Arabidopsis thaliana: one gene and its partner. The protein of the gene in region 1 interacts with the protein of each later gene in a pairwise test. Each region holds a gene or a part of one and is shown in the gene's direction. Other genes may lie near its edges.

Region 1 (6,666 bases):
CTTCTTGATGGTGATGAACTTTGCTTTCACTACGGGGAAGTACAATGGGAGTACGATAACGATTCTTGGGCGGAACGTGGTGATGTCGAAGGTTAGGGAAATGCCGGTGGTCGGAGGTAGTGGAATCTTTCGATTTGCTAGAGGTTATGTCGAGGCTCGCACCAAGTCGTTTGATCTCAAGGCCGGTGTTGCCAATCTACATATACATTTTTGCAGCCATTTTAACAAATAAATCTTAGAGTTGAACTTATTTACAACCCAATGCCATTAGCATTAAATTTTTTTTTCAAAATAATTAATTTTACATTAAATTCTTAATTTAAATTGTCAATCACATTATCAATCAAATTTAATCCAAACAAACTGCACATCAATCCTTTAAAATTAGCATAAAAGTATTTTGTTAACAATATTTTAAAACAAAGTTTTTTGTTTAAATAAATATTGTTCTTACTAAACGTTTTTTGTTTAAATAAACAAATCATGTATTTGAACTTATTTACAATGTCATGCTACTGACATTAATTATTCAGGCATGAAAATATTTAATTAAAGATTTAAATCTTCTAAATTCTTGCTTTTAGAATTATTATATCATTACCTAAAAGGCAAAAAATATTAATTTTTTAATTATTATTATTTATATATTTAAAATTCATAAAACACTATTAATATTTAAATTTATAAAAAGTTTAATATATCAAAAAAATTAACATCATTATATAATATATAGAGTTTAAAAAATCTCAAAAAAAAAATCGTCATATTTTGTGATTCAAAATTTTAAGAATGAACATATATTAACTAATTGGCGAAAAATGTATGGATTCAACGTCCCGCAACGAATAAAATATTTTGACAATGATTCATAAATATATTATAAATAAGATCAACATTAATAAAATAAATAAATTTTTTTTGTGGACGGGTTTGGCGGGACGAGTTTGACAGGATGTTACTTAGTAACAATTGTAAACTATAAAATAATTTACAAATTTTTACATATATTAATTTTAAAAAATGAATTGTCTCCGCGGTGAATCTAGTGTTGAATATAATTGTTATATTCTGCATTACTGAAATAATTAAGTTTGGAATATTGTTCATTTGATTTCATTACTTATTTGTTTTTATGTCTCGTTTTGTTATGAGAGTGTTATTGTCTTTTCCCAAGTTAAATAATGTATTTTATCTTGTAATGGTTTGATTTTATTCATCTAAAAAATAAATAAATAAGTAGTTGTTTATATATACATTAAACATACATTTTTTGGTCAAATTAAGTGGCACAAAGGCTCTACTCCGCGTTAATTTGGAAAATCATCAACTGATTAGCGAATAAATTATTTGAAATTTTGATAGAAAATAAATGTTCAAATAAATATAATGATTAGTTAGCCCAATCACGAGCTAATCAAACCTTAAAAAAAAAACACCAAATCAAACCTATTTATTGTCTAAAACCAATTTTGATATTACACGGAGAAATTAAATAATACATTTAGCTACTTTTTTGTTTGAAATAGAAAAGACATTCAAAATAGTAAACATATAAAACCATTGTAAGAAAAGAAATCAAATTTTTTATTTCTTAACAAAAACGTGAAACGTTTGTTTCCAAATTAGTCGCAAGTCACGGACCGTGTGACGCAAAAAAAGTCCATTCACATCATTATTACATAATTTTTGTCATAAGGAAAATTAATTTGATTTTTCCAAATTTTTTTGGTTCTTCCTCTTCAGAATATCTGACGTGGCATAAATATCGCCTTTTTCACATCGCCTGTCTTCTTTTCTCTCTCCATTTTGGGAACTTTCATCCATAAACTTCTATTTTTCTCATCGCAAACTTGAACCGTCGTAACCCTAAATCGCCATCTTCATCATCGGCAAATCGAATCTCCGATTATATATCAAATAGCTTACCAAATCCGACATGACCCAGGCCCTCGTTTTCGGAGGACTATAATGATCGGACTCTTCGTGTCCCGTCTCGATTGCATGGGGTTTGAGCTATGCCGGAGCTTCGCCGTGGAGTCCGCCGTGGCCGTGTTACTGATGCTGTAGCTCCCAATCAGCTTCCGCAAACACCTACAGAAAAGAAACCGAAGAAGAGTACCGTTAAAGCTCCAAAACCGGTTGCCGGCGGAGTTACAGGAGTTGCAGAGAGGCCGAGGACTAGATTAGCGGCGAGGAAATTAAAGGAGGAAGATAAAGAGATACCTCAGGAGATTCCGGTTGTTGTGCCGTCTAAGGATAGCGATATCGATAAAAACAAGGGTAAAGAGGTAGTCGTTGAAGAAGAGAAGAAAGATATGGCTATTGGTAATGATAGTGGTGGCTCTAACAAGGCGGCTGCTCAGGAAGAAGAAGGAAATACTGCTCCTTTCCCTGAGAGGGTATAATTGATTTGCATAGTTTTTGTGTTGTTTGGGGTTATTGAACTTTTCATTGTAGGCTTGCTTATCATCTTTCTATGGTAATGACTAACGATTCCGTATCAGGTTCAAGTTGGAGGATCACCACTATATAAAGTTGAGAGAAAGCTGGGGAAGGGTGGTTTTGGACAAGTATTTGTCGGACGTCGTATTAGTGGCGGTAATGATCGTAGTGCAGGAGCTAGCATCTTGGAGGTAATATAACTCAGTCTGCGTTTACTGCTGTGGAGGATTGTCACCATAAATATCATTCTATTAGCTTAGTTATGCTTACAGTGTCTCACATCTTCACTTTCTTATATAGGTTGCTCTAAAGTTTGAGCATAGGAGCAGCAAGGGTTGCAACTATGGTCCTCCACATGAGTGGCAGGTTTACAAGTGGGTGTTTCGATTCTCCTGTCTTTCTTTCAATGTTTCTTAAATTCATTTACCTGGATTGTAGGTGCTTCCTTGACTTGAAATGTGAAATTGACATTTTACTTTTATTGTGAACAGCACCTTGGGTGGTAGCCATGGAGTCCCTAGAGTACATTTCAAAGGCAGGCAAGGAGACTATTATGTCATGGTACTGGATTCCCCCTTTCTCCTATTTCTGTTTTTTTCTCCTGTCTGTATCATTGAAGTTAGATCCTCTCTTCTTTGTTTTGGCCTCAGGTTATGGACATGCTTGGGCCTAGCTTATGGGATTTATGGAATACTTCAGGGCAAGCGTGAGTCTCCATTACACATCCTTGGGGAGCTCTTGTCTCTTTTTCAATTAGCGTTGTTTCCATACATGAGTATCCTAAGTTAATTTGGATTCTTTTGGAATTGTGACTTGAAATGTGGTGTTACTCCCTGTTTTTAAAAAAATACATAAGTCCATACTGAGTAACATTTTGCTTTTAAAAAATCGACTTCCCTAACAATTCTTCTCCCCCTTTTTGCTTTGCAGAATGTCCTCGGAAATGGTAGCTTGCATTGCGGTTGAATCACTTTCCATCCTTGAAAAGATGCATGCAAAAGGGTTTGTAATTGAACTTTATTTTTGTTTTTGTATTTAATTAGGTTGTCCGAGGTTTCTTCTGATATCCTGTTTGGAGTCTCGGCACCTCTAAGTTCTTATGTTTTCTCTCTATTAACTAGCCTAACAGGTCATGTTTTACTTCGGTTTCAGTTATGTGCATGGGGATGTTAAGCCAGAAAATTTCTTACTCGGCCAGCCTTCAACGTCTCAAGAGAAAAAACTGTTTCTTGTTGATTTGGGACTAGGTTGATTTCATTCTCTTTGTTATTCTTGCTAGGTTCTTCTTTACCTTTCTCATTTTTCAACCAACTTTTCAGCTACAAAGTGGAGAGAAGGTGGTAGCGGACAACATGTTGAATATGATCAACGTCCTGATATGTTTAGGTAATATATTTTCTACTGTTACCTAATATAATTTGTTTTATACTCGCTCTTACCTTTTGTTGAATCTCTCTCTTCTTAATTTTTATAGAGGGACAGTTAGATACGCAAGTGCACATGCTCATTTAGGGAGAACTGCTAGCAGAAGGGATGATCTGGAATCATTAGCATATACACTGATCTTTCTTCACCGAGGTAGATTGCCATGGCAAGGATATCAGGTACTGCAGACCTATCATTTTGTTTTGTAGAATCATGTTGTTGCATGATTCTTTCTCTGCTAATCCTGTCTCTTACTCAATTTTCAGGGAGATAACAAGTCATTCCTTGTTTGCAAAAAGAAGATGGCAACATCGCCGGATATGCTTTGTTGTTTTTGTCCCCCTCCTTTCAAACAATTTCTTGAGATCGTGGTAAATATGAAATTTGATGAAGAACCCAACTATGGAAAGTTAGTATCTCTGTTTCAAGACCTCTTGGGCGAAAATCCGGCAATTAGGCCTATAAACACAGAGGGTGCTCAAAAGGTGACATTTTCATGCTGTATATCTTTCCCTTTCGTTCCTATTTGGATATCTAGGAGTTGTTGTTTAACATCTTGTAATTGTTTTCTTTTGTGCTAGATCATATTCCAAGTTGGCCAGAAGCGAGGTAGGTTGAGCATTGGGGAGGAAGAAGAAGATGCCCCTAGGAAAAAGGTCCGTCTAGGAGTCCCTGCAACGCAATGGATATCGATTTACAATGCCAGGCAACCAATGAAGCAGAGGTAAAAAAATTCATGGTTAATTATTTATACAGTCAGTTAACTGCTGGGACTGCGTTTGTGTCTCATTTTTTCTCTTGGTTATATTATAATCTTGGATTTTTGGCCTTAATGTGTCTAAAACTATTTTTGGACTCACAATTTATGTGTTTAACCAGGTATCATTATAATGTGGCTGATATAAGACTGGCACAGCATATTGAGAGAGGTATTGCAGATGGTTTGTTGATAAGCTGTGTATCATCATGTTCGAATCTCTGGGCATTGATAATGGATGCTGGAACTGGCTTCACGCACCAAGTCTATGAACTCTCTCCTGTATTCTTGCACAAGGTTGTCTGATGTTTCTCTGTTAGTTATTTTTATATCTGTGTTCTGTCAAGATGATCTTACCTGAGAGTGAATTCTGTTTTGAATCAGGAATGGATTATGGAGCAGTGGGAGAAGAACTACTACATTAGTTCTATTGCTGGTGCAAGCAATGGAAGCTCCTTAGTTGTCATGTCAAAAGGTATCTACACTTTTCATGAATACTTTTGAACACTTTCGTCATTATGGTATTTTACTAGTCTCTGAATTTGTGGCTTATTCTATGTTTGGTTTTCAAATGAATTATGAAGGTACGCAGTATACACAGCAGTCTTACAAAGTAAGCGATTCATTCCCGTTCAAGTGGATAAACAAGAAATGGAGAGAAGGCTTCCATGTAACCTCAATGGCAACAGCTGGAAATCGATGGGGTGTTGTTATGTCCCGCAATTCTGGCTACAGTGAACAGGTTAGACTTCACCGATATAGATGAATTTCTTCCGTTTCCTTCAGTTTTGGATCTGTCGCGTTGATTTCTAATTCTCCTGTTTTCGCTTATATCTCCTCTACAGGTTGTGGAACTTGATTTTCTGTATCCAAGTGAAGGCATCCACAGGCGTTGGGATGGTGGATTCAGAATCACATCAACAGCAGCCACAACCGATCAAGCTGCTCTCATCCTAAGCATCCCACGTCGTAGACTTGTTGATGAGACACAAGAGACGTTACGTACCTCTCAATTCCCCAGCACACACGTCAAGGTGAGTAGAGCAGCTATAAAAGATTACTAATCAATATCTTGAACTCTTTTTCTCCCTTCCCATGAACAATACCGGAGATGCAATTTTCTGTTGTGCAGGAAAAATGGGGAAAGAATCTCTACCTTGCATCGTTAAGCTATGGCCGAACTGTATCTTGAGACTTATTAGTAAAAACTGTTGAAGGACGAGAGAAATATGTTTCTAAGTCTCGGCTCCTATTCCTTATCCAACCCTATGGCCTCTCAGGCTCTGTTGTGCTTCTTCTTTTTTTTCAGTTGAATTGTGAAGCAAAAATGTGGTGATTGTGTTGTTTATTCCCCCCTTGTGAAGGGGATTGAGCCATAATCACCAGTTTACCTACACATTTCCCTCGAAATTGCTATATTTAATTTTTAAATCAAGAAAAGATATTTTTGTCACCAAATATTCTATAGTTGTCCAATTCTGTAACCTAATTATCGAATTCATATCGAAACAGGCTGTTCTCTCCATACACGACCTGAAACCTTCAACTTCAGCTCCTTGTCGGTGGTGTTGTTGTCGGTAGAGAAGAACAAAGCCAATTTGCGAGTGATGATTAAGCCATCTTGACTATCACGAACCGTCTTGTGACTGTCACGAATGCTCCTCGGCACGCCTTGCCATGTCAGCTTTCTGCCATTCCCTCCGACCTGCAAACTATAGCTGAAGCTCATTGCCTCTTCTTCATCTCCCATAAACTGCATGAAGGCCATGTACATTGGTGTTTTCCTCAGGTGAAACGCTTCGAAGTACAAGCAGAATTTTCGACCACAACAATCGAGAAGCTGCATCGTTTCAAGTGGGTTAAAACTTAAAAATTCACAAAGTTGCAGAAACAGAGCAAGATAATCAGTTATATAACTTACTGTTAACATCCAAGTAGCATGATGAAGATGTTTAGGATCATGATGAACATATCTGTGACTGAAACTACGCCCATCACTCATTTCAACATTGTGATCATTCCTTAGATGCAGTAGTAGCCTT
Region 2 (4,792 bases), on another chromosome or scaffold:
ACAGTCCTGATGTACTACTGCAAGTACACCTACATCACTTCTTCTCAGTCAGGTTCTTATCCGCAAACGTACGCACAGTAAAACTTTAAGAAGGTTCTGAATCAGATATTCGCAAGAACGCAAAAATAAAGATAATTTCACGTGAATATTCAGCTTCCAGCAAATTTAAAAGGAGACATAACTGAAACCAGAGAGGGAAAAAAGAGTAGCAAAACCAAAGGGCCCTTTTGTTTCTCATTATAATTTAAGTTCCTTACAAACTAAAAGTTGTTCAACAACTATATTAAATGAGTACAAAAAACTCACAACAGAAAAGCTTGCAGGAGATCACATTGGTCACAAGAAATCATCTCCATCCATACTTTTCCTATATGAACCTATCCACACAATCACAAATAACCATCCTCAATCAGAACTCCTCCTCCGAACCAGACCATGACGATCACTTCAGTCTTAAAAACTCATCTTGAATAGAGATTACTCAATTCTGTACCAACCCAAATCACCACCTTGCTCACAATAGACCATCCTAGATAGGAATCTTCATATCAGAATCAACCCAAACTCGTGTTTTCAAAGAACAAGAACCACAAGGAAGAACAACAGACGCCACAAAAGCACCCAATCTCTTAACATAAACAAAATCACCATCTCTCAACAAAGCAAACCCCATTGTTCCTAACTCACTAGAATCAACACAAAAGTAATCACCACACCTACACTGATAAAAAAGATCAATCACATCACCAGTAATCTCCACTGACATATCCTCAATACTAATCTCATCAGCAGTGATTCCATCATGTCTTGAAGATCTAAGATCATTATCATAAACTACACGTAGCTCTGCATCGCTTAGAACTTCCCAAGCTTTTTGAATCTTCAGAAACTTCTCGTCGTCTGAGCTAGAACGAGAAGTATTGTTGAGCTTATCTGGATGAGAGTGGAGAATCGCAGAACGATAGCTATTTCGGATTTCTTCATAGCTAGCATCTTCTTTCACGGAGAGAATCTCGTAGTATGTCTCGTGAACACAATTCTCACCGACAAGCATGATTTGTTGAATCCTCCTTAATTCACGACGGTGCTAGGGCTCAAAATTCACCGGCGACGGCGAGAAAATTCGGAGGATAAAGAGACCAAGAGTTTTTAGTGTGTTGGTTTCTTCGTCTGACCATTCGGGTTTTCGGGTCGATTCGGATCAGTCTTTCTTCCGGATTTCGGGTAATTCTGGGAAGATTGGGTCTATATAAAAGAGAACCGAAATTGTTTCGGTTAGCTCGGTTTGGTTATGGTATTCTCGGATTCGGGTTGGTTTTTGAAATTTGATTAAACCCCAAGGTCCCCAACCTATGATTGAACGATATTTTGATTCGGTTTTTTTAACCCGAATTATTCTATAAACCATGAAAGTCATAAAACCAAACAATTCAAAAAAACGTAACATTTTCAAAGTTTTAAACATATAAATCTGAACCGAACCGAATTTGTTATTTTGAGTCGATTCAGATATTTTAGATCCAGTATACTCAAGACTAAAATATACCGTTGAAGTATAAAATATACCGTTTTGACAATTATCAATCTTAAAAGTAATATCAAAAGTGTCACTTAAAACATTACTTTTAGTATTTGTATAATTTTTATGTACTATATTTCCGTACATTTTTACATTATTCCATAAAAAATTATCTCTCATGTTTGTAATTAAAATATTTGTACAGTCATATGTTATCCATCGGACATATGATTATCATATGTATATTGTTTTGGGTTTTTTACGAAGACATGTTCGAATTTTAGATCTGACCCGGACAAAACTGAAACCCGAAACAATTCTAATTTGGGTATATGCTAACCGATAATTGAACCGGATTTTTCGAATCGGGTCGCTTAAATCATTTTGGGATCTTAAATGTTTGGGCTTGGGCCTGATTTAAAAAAATCAATACTTGACCCGATTACGCAAACCCGTTTACGGAAATACCCATCTTCAACTGGTTCCGTGAAGAGACGCGCAAAAGACGATCGATCAACGTTCATTTGTGTGAAATCTGTTAACTTTTTCTGGGGAGAATTAATTTTCGTGAAGATTTTGTAGAATCGTGATGGGTTTATCAAAAGGTAGATTAAAAGCATGGTTCAATAAGAAAATCACTGATCCTCTTCTCCAGATCTTGCGTAGGTTTGTCTTCTTTGACTCTTTGTCTCTCTTTTACATAGATCTGTTAATTAGGACTAGTTTGGTCACTCATATTCTGCTTATTGATTATTGAATCAGATAGATCTCATGTGCAACTTTGTGATCATTGGTCTTTAAAAGCTGTAGTTTTGCATTTTGCTTCTTGTTGGTTACTTAATTTGGAACATTAGAGACTATACAGAATAGTTAAAGGTAGAGTCTTTATACTTGTAGCTTCTAAAGGATCTTAAAAACATCTGTTTAGTTGTTATTGGAACACAAGAGAGACCATTTAGAACAGCTAAAGGTAGAGGCTTTATTCTTGTATCTTCAATGTAGCTTCTCAAGGATCTTTAAAACATCAGTTTAGTTGTTATTGGAACACAGGAGAGACCATTTATAATAGTTAAAGGTAGAGTCTTTATTCTTGTATCTTCAATGTAGCTTCTCAAGGATCTTTAAAACGTCTGTTTAGTTGTTATTGGAACACAGGAGAGACCATTTATAATAGTTAAAGGTAGAGTCTTTATTCTTGTATCTTCATGTAGTTTTAAAGGATCTTGAAAACATCTGTTTAGTTGTTATTGTAACACAAGAGAGACCATTTACAACATTTAAAGGTAGAGTCTTTATTCTTAGATCTTCATGTGGCTCTTAAAGGATCTTTTGGGCATCTGTTAGAGACTGATGTATCAGCACAGTTAAAGACAGAGTCTTTATGCTTGTATCATCATGTAGTTTCTAAAGGATTTTAAGAAAATCTCTTTCTTTGTTATTGGAATACAAGAGAGACCCATTTAGAACTGTTAAAGGCAAAAGCGTTATCCTTGTATCTTCATGTTGCTCATATAGGAACTTTTGGGCATCTGTTAGAGATAGATGTATCAACATCTCTGTCTCTGTTGCAGAAAATTTGATGTTGTGAAGTGATTTGAGTTTGATTTTGTTTTTGTTTTCAATTTTCGTAGAGGTACTGAGCCAAAGCAGCTTGCTTTCTCTGCTGCACTTGGTATTACCTTGGGGATATTTCCGATATGTGGTGCGTATTTCTCGCCATTTTGCTATTTCCTAAGCTTACTGCTTCTTGCGTTGTTGCGTTTTGAGATTGCTATGTACCTTATTTGGTGTGGTTTTTGTTATAAAATAGGTGTTCCTGTGTTACTATGTGGAGTAGCTTTTGCCTTGCTCGGATCATCTTGTCATGCTCCGACCGTAATGTTGGCTAATATCATTGCCACTCCAGTGGAACTAGCGTAAACCTTATATCATTTAAATCTTTTGAAATTACCACTTTTATCGAAAGACGATGCATATCAGTTTTCTTCCTGACTTGGATTTTGGATTTCCTTTTCATGTCTTTCTTATTGAAGTCTCGTGGTTCCTTTCCTAAGACTTGGTGAAAAAGTTACTGGTGGACCTCATTTTCCTTTGACATCAGATGCTCTAAAGAAGGTTTTCACTGGTCAAGCCTCTCAAGAAGTCTTTTTAAGCATTGGTAATGCGGTAAGTAGCTACAATGAGTCTCGTTTCTCTTAGCTAATGGGGGAACTATGTCGAACCGCTTTTTGCATTCCCTAGCCTAATCTTTTGTGCTCTTATCATTAGTAACTTGCAAGTCTTATTTTAAGTCCTATGGTTATTGCAGTTACTAGGGTGGCTCGTAGCAACTCCATTTTTCTTTATTACGTTATACGTTGTATTGCTGCCATGTTTCACAATCCTGGTCCGCAAGTTCGGCGGCGTTGCTTCAACCCAGAAGCTACCTACAAGTATGGAGACGGAGCTCAACCCAAAGCCAAGAGACGCTTAAATTCAACAAGACTTAGAAACCTCACTGTTCTTTTTATCAACACGAAGCCCTCGAAATTGTAACATAAATATGCATAGAGACTAATGTATAGCGTATATACCACACTTGCATTGTCAAATTCTCACACTCTTGTTTCTAAACTCATTTGAAAATGTTAGTAACCAAAAATATTGGTGGTTACATTTGAACGCCTAAACTTGGTGGTAAAGCCCATTTTTTATGGGTTTGTTCTTATATTGATAACTAAATTGATTGTGTTTCTGTTAGAGGTAACCATTATATCCCAACCCAAAACCAAAGTAAAATCCATGCACATAACTGCCTGGTTAAAGTATTCTTCAACCTGATCTGTTCGGTTTGGTTCGAAGTCGAACTGAACCAATAACCTTTTTTAATTACATTAAAACCAAACCAAACTACTGTAATACTAAATCGAACAGAATCCAACCCAATATCGAAATGCCACTTCGAATCTCTCTCAAAGTAAACATTGGCCTTTTTATTGTGGTGTAAAAATGGTCCTCTTAAGAACTCTTCTCATTCGGATATACCAACTTGGAGAGAACTTATAACAAAAGCCATTGACTTTAGAAGTTGACAATGAATATTTCAAAAGAAGAATCTGTGAAAAGTGTCTCTTGGTTCGTACCAATAAGGTACAAGAAGCGTTGACAAAACTAAAAAGCAAAGCGAGAAGGCAAATCTGCGAATCTCCGCGTCCGTGGGAGTGATCAAAGCTGATGTGTTCATCATCCATATCTGAATATTCTGTATATTTTTGTTTATAGAATGAATCCTAT

The links. Proteins that work in one complex are often made in the same cells at the same time.
Region 2: the proteins of AT3G13670 (region 1) and AT4G10140 interact in a protein complementation assay, tested with the Arabidopsis thaliana proteins (one large-scale study listed by BioGRID).

The regions. Positions count from the first base shown.
Region 1 is NC_003074.8:4,467,419-4,474,084, forward strand, and holds AT3G13670 (Protein kinase family protein), read left to right. Parts: upstream 1-1,734; 5' UTR 1,735-2,015; coding exon 2,016-2,399; intron 2,400-2,504; coding exon 2,505-2,633; intron 2,634-2,742; coding exon 2,743-2,816; intron 2,817-2,933; coding exon 2,934-3,003; intron 3,004-3,092; coding exon 3,093-3,148; intron 3,149-3,372; coding exon 3,373-3,444; intron 3,445-3,594; coding exon 3,595-3,689; intron 3,690-3,761; coding exon 3,762-3,828; intron 3,829-3,916; coding exon 3,917-4,046; intron 4,047-4,133; coding exon 4,134-4,352; intron 4,353-4,448; coding exon 4,449-4,591; intron 4,592-4,746; coding exon 4,747-4,921; intron 4,922-5,008; coding exon 5,009-5,099; intron 5,100-5,143; exon of another isoform or gene 5,144-5,208; coding exon 5,209-5,366; exon of another isoform or gene 5,367-5,469; coding exon 5,470-5,658; exon of another isoform or gene 5,659-5,756; coding exon 5,757-5,816; 3' UTR 5,817-6,122; downstream 6,123-6,666. Other genes in the region: AT3G13662 (Disease resistance-responsive (dirigent-like protein) family protein), read left to right, coding at 1-187, 1,047-1,052; AT3G13672 (TRAF-like superfamily protein), read right to left, coding at 6,123-6,666.
Region 2 is NC_003075.7:6,320,430-6,325,221, forward strand, and holds AT4G10140 (uncharacterized protein), read left to right. Parts: upstream 1-1,883; 5' UTR 1,884-2,108; coding exon 2,109-2,185; intron 2,186-3,150; coding exon 3,151-3,221; intron 3,222-3,329; coding exon 3,330-3,435; intron 3,436-3,552; coding exon 3,553-3,685; intron 3,686-3,827; coding exon 3,828-3,992; 3' UTR 3,993-4,265; downstream 4,266-4,792. Other genes in the region: AT4G10130 (DNAJ heat shock N-terminal domain-containing protein), read right to left, coding at 530-1,054.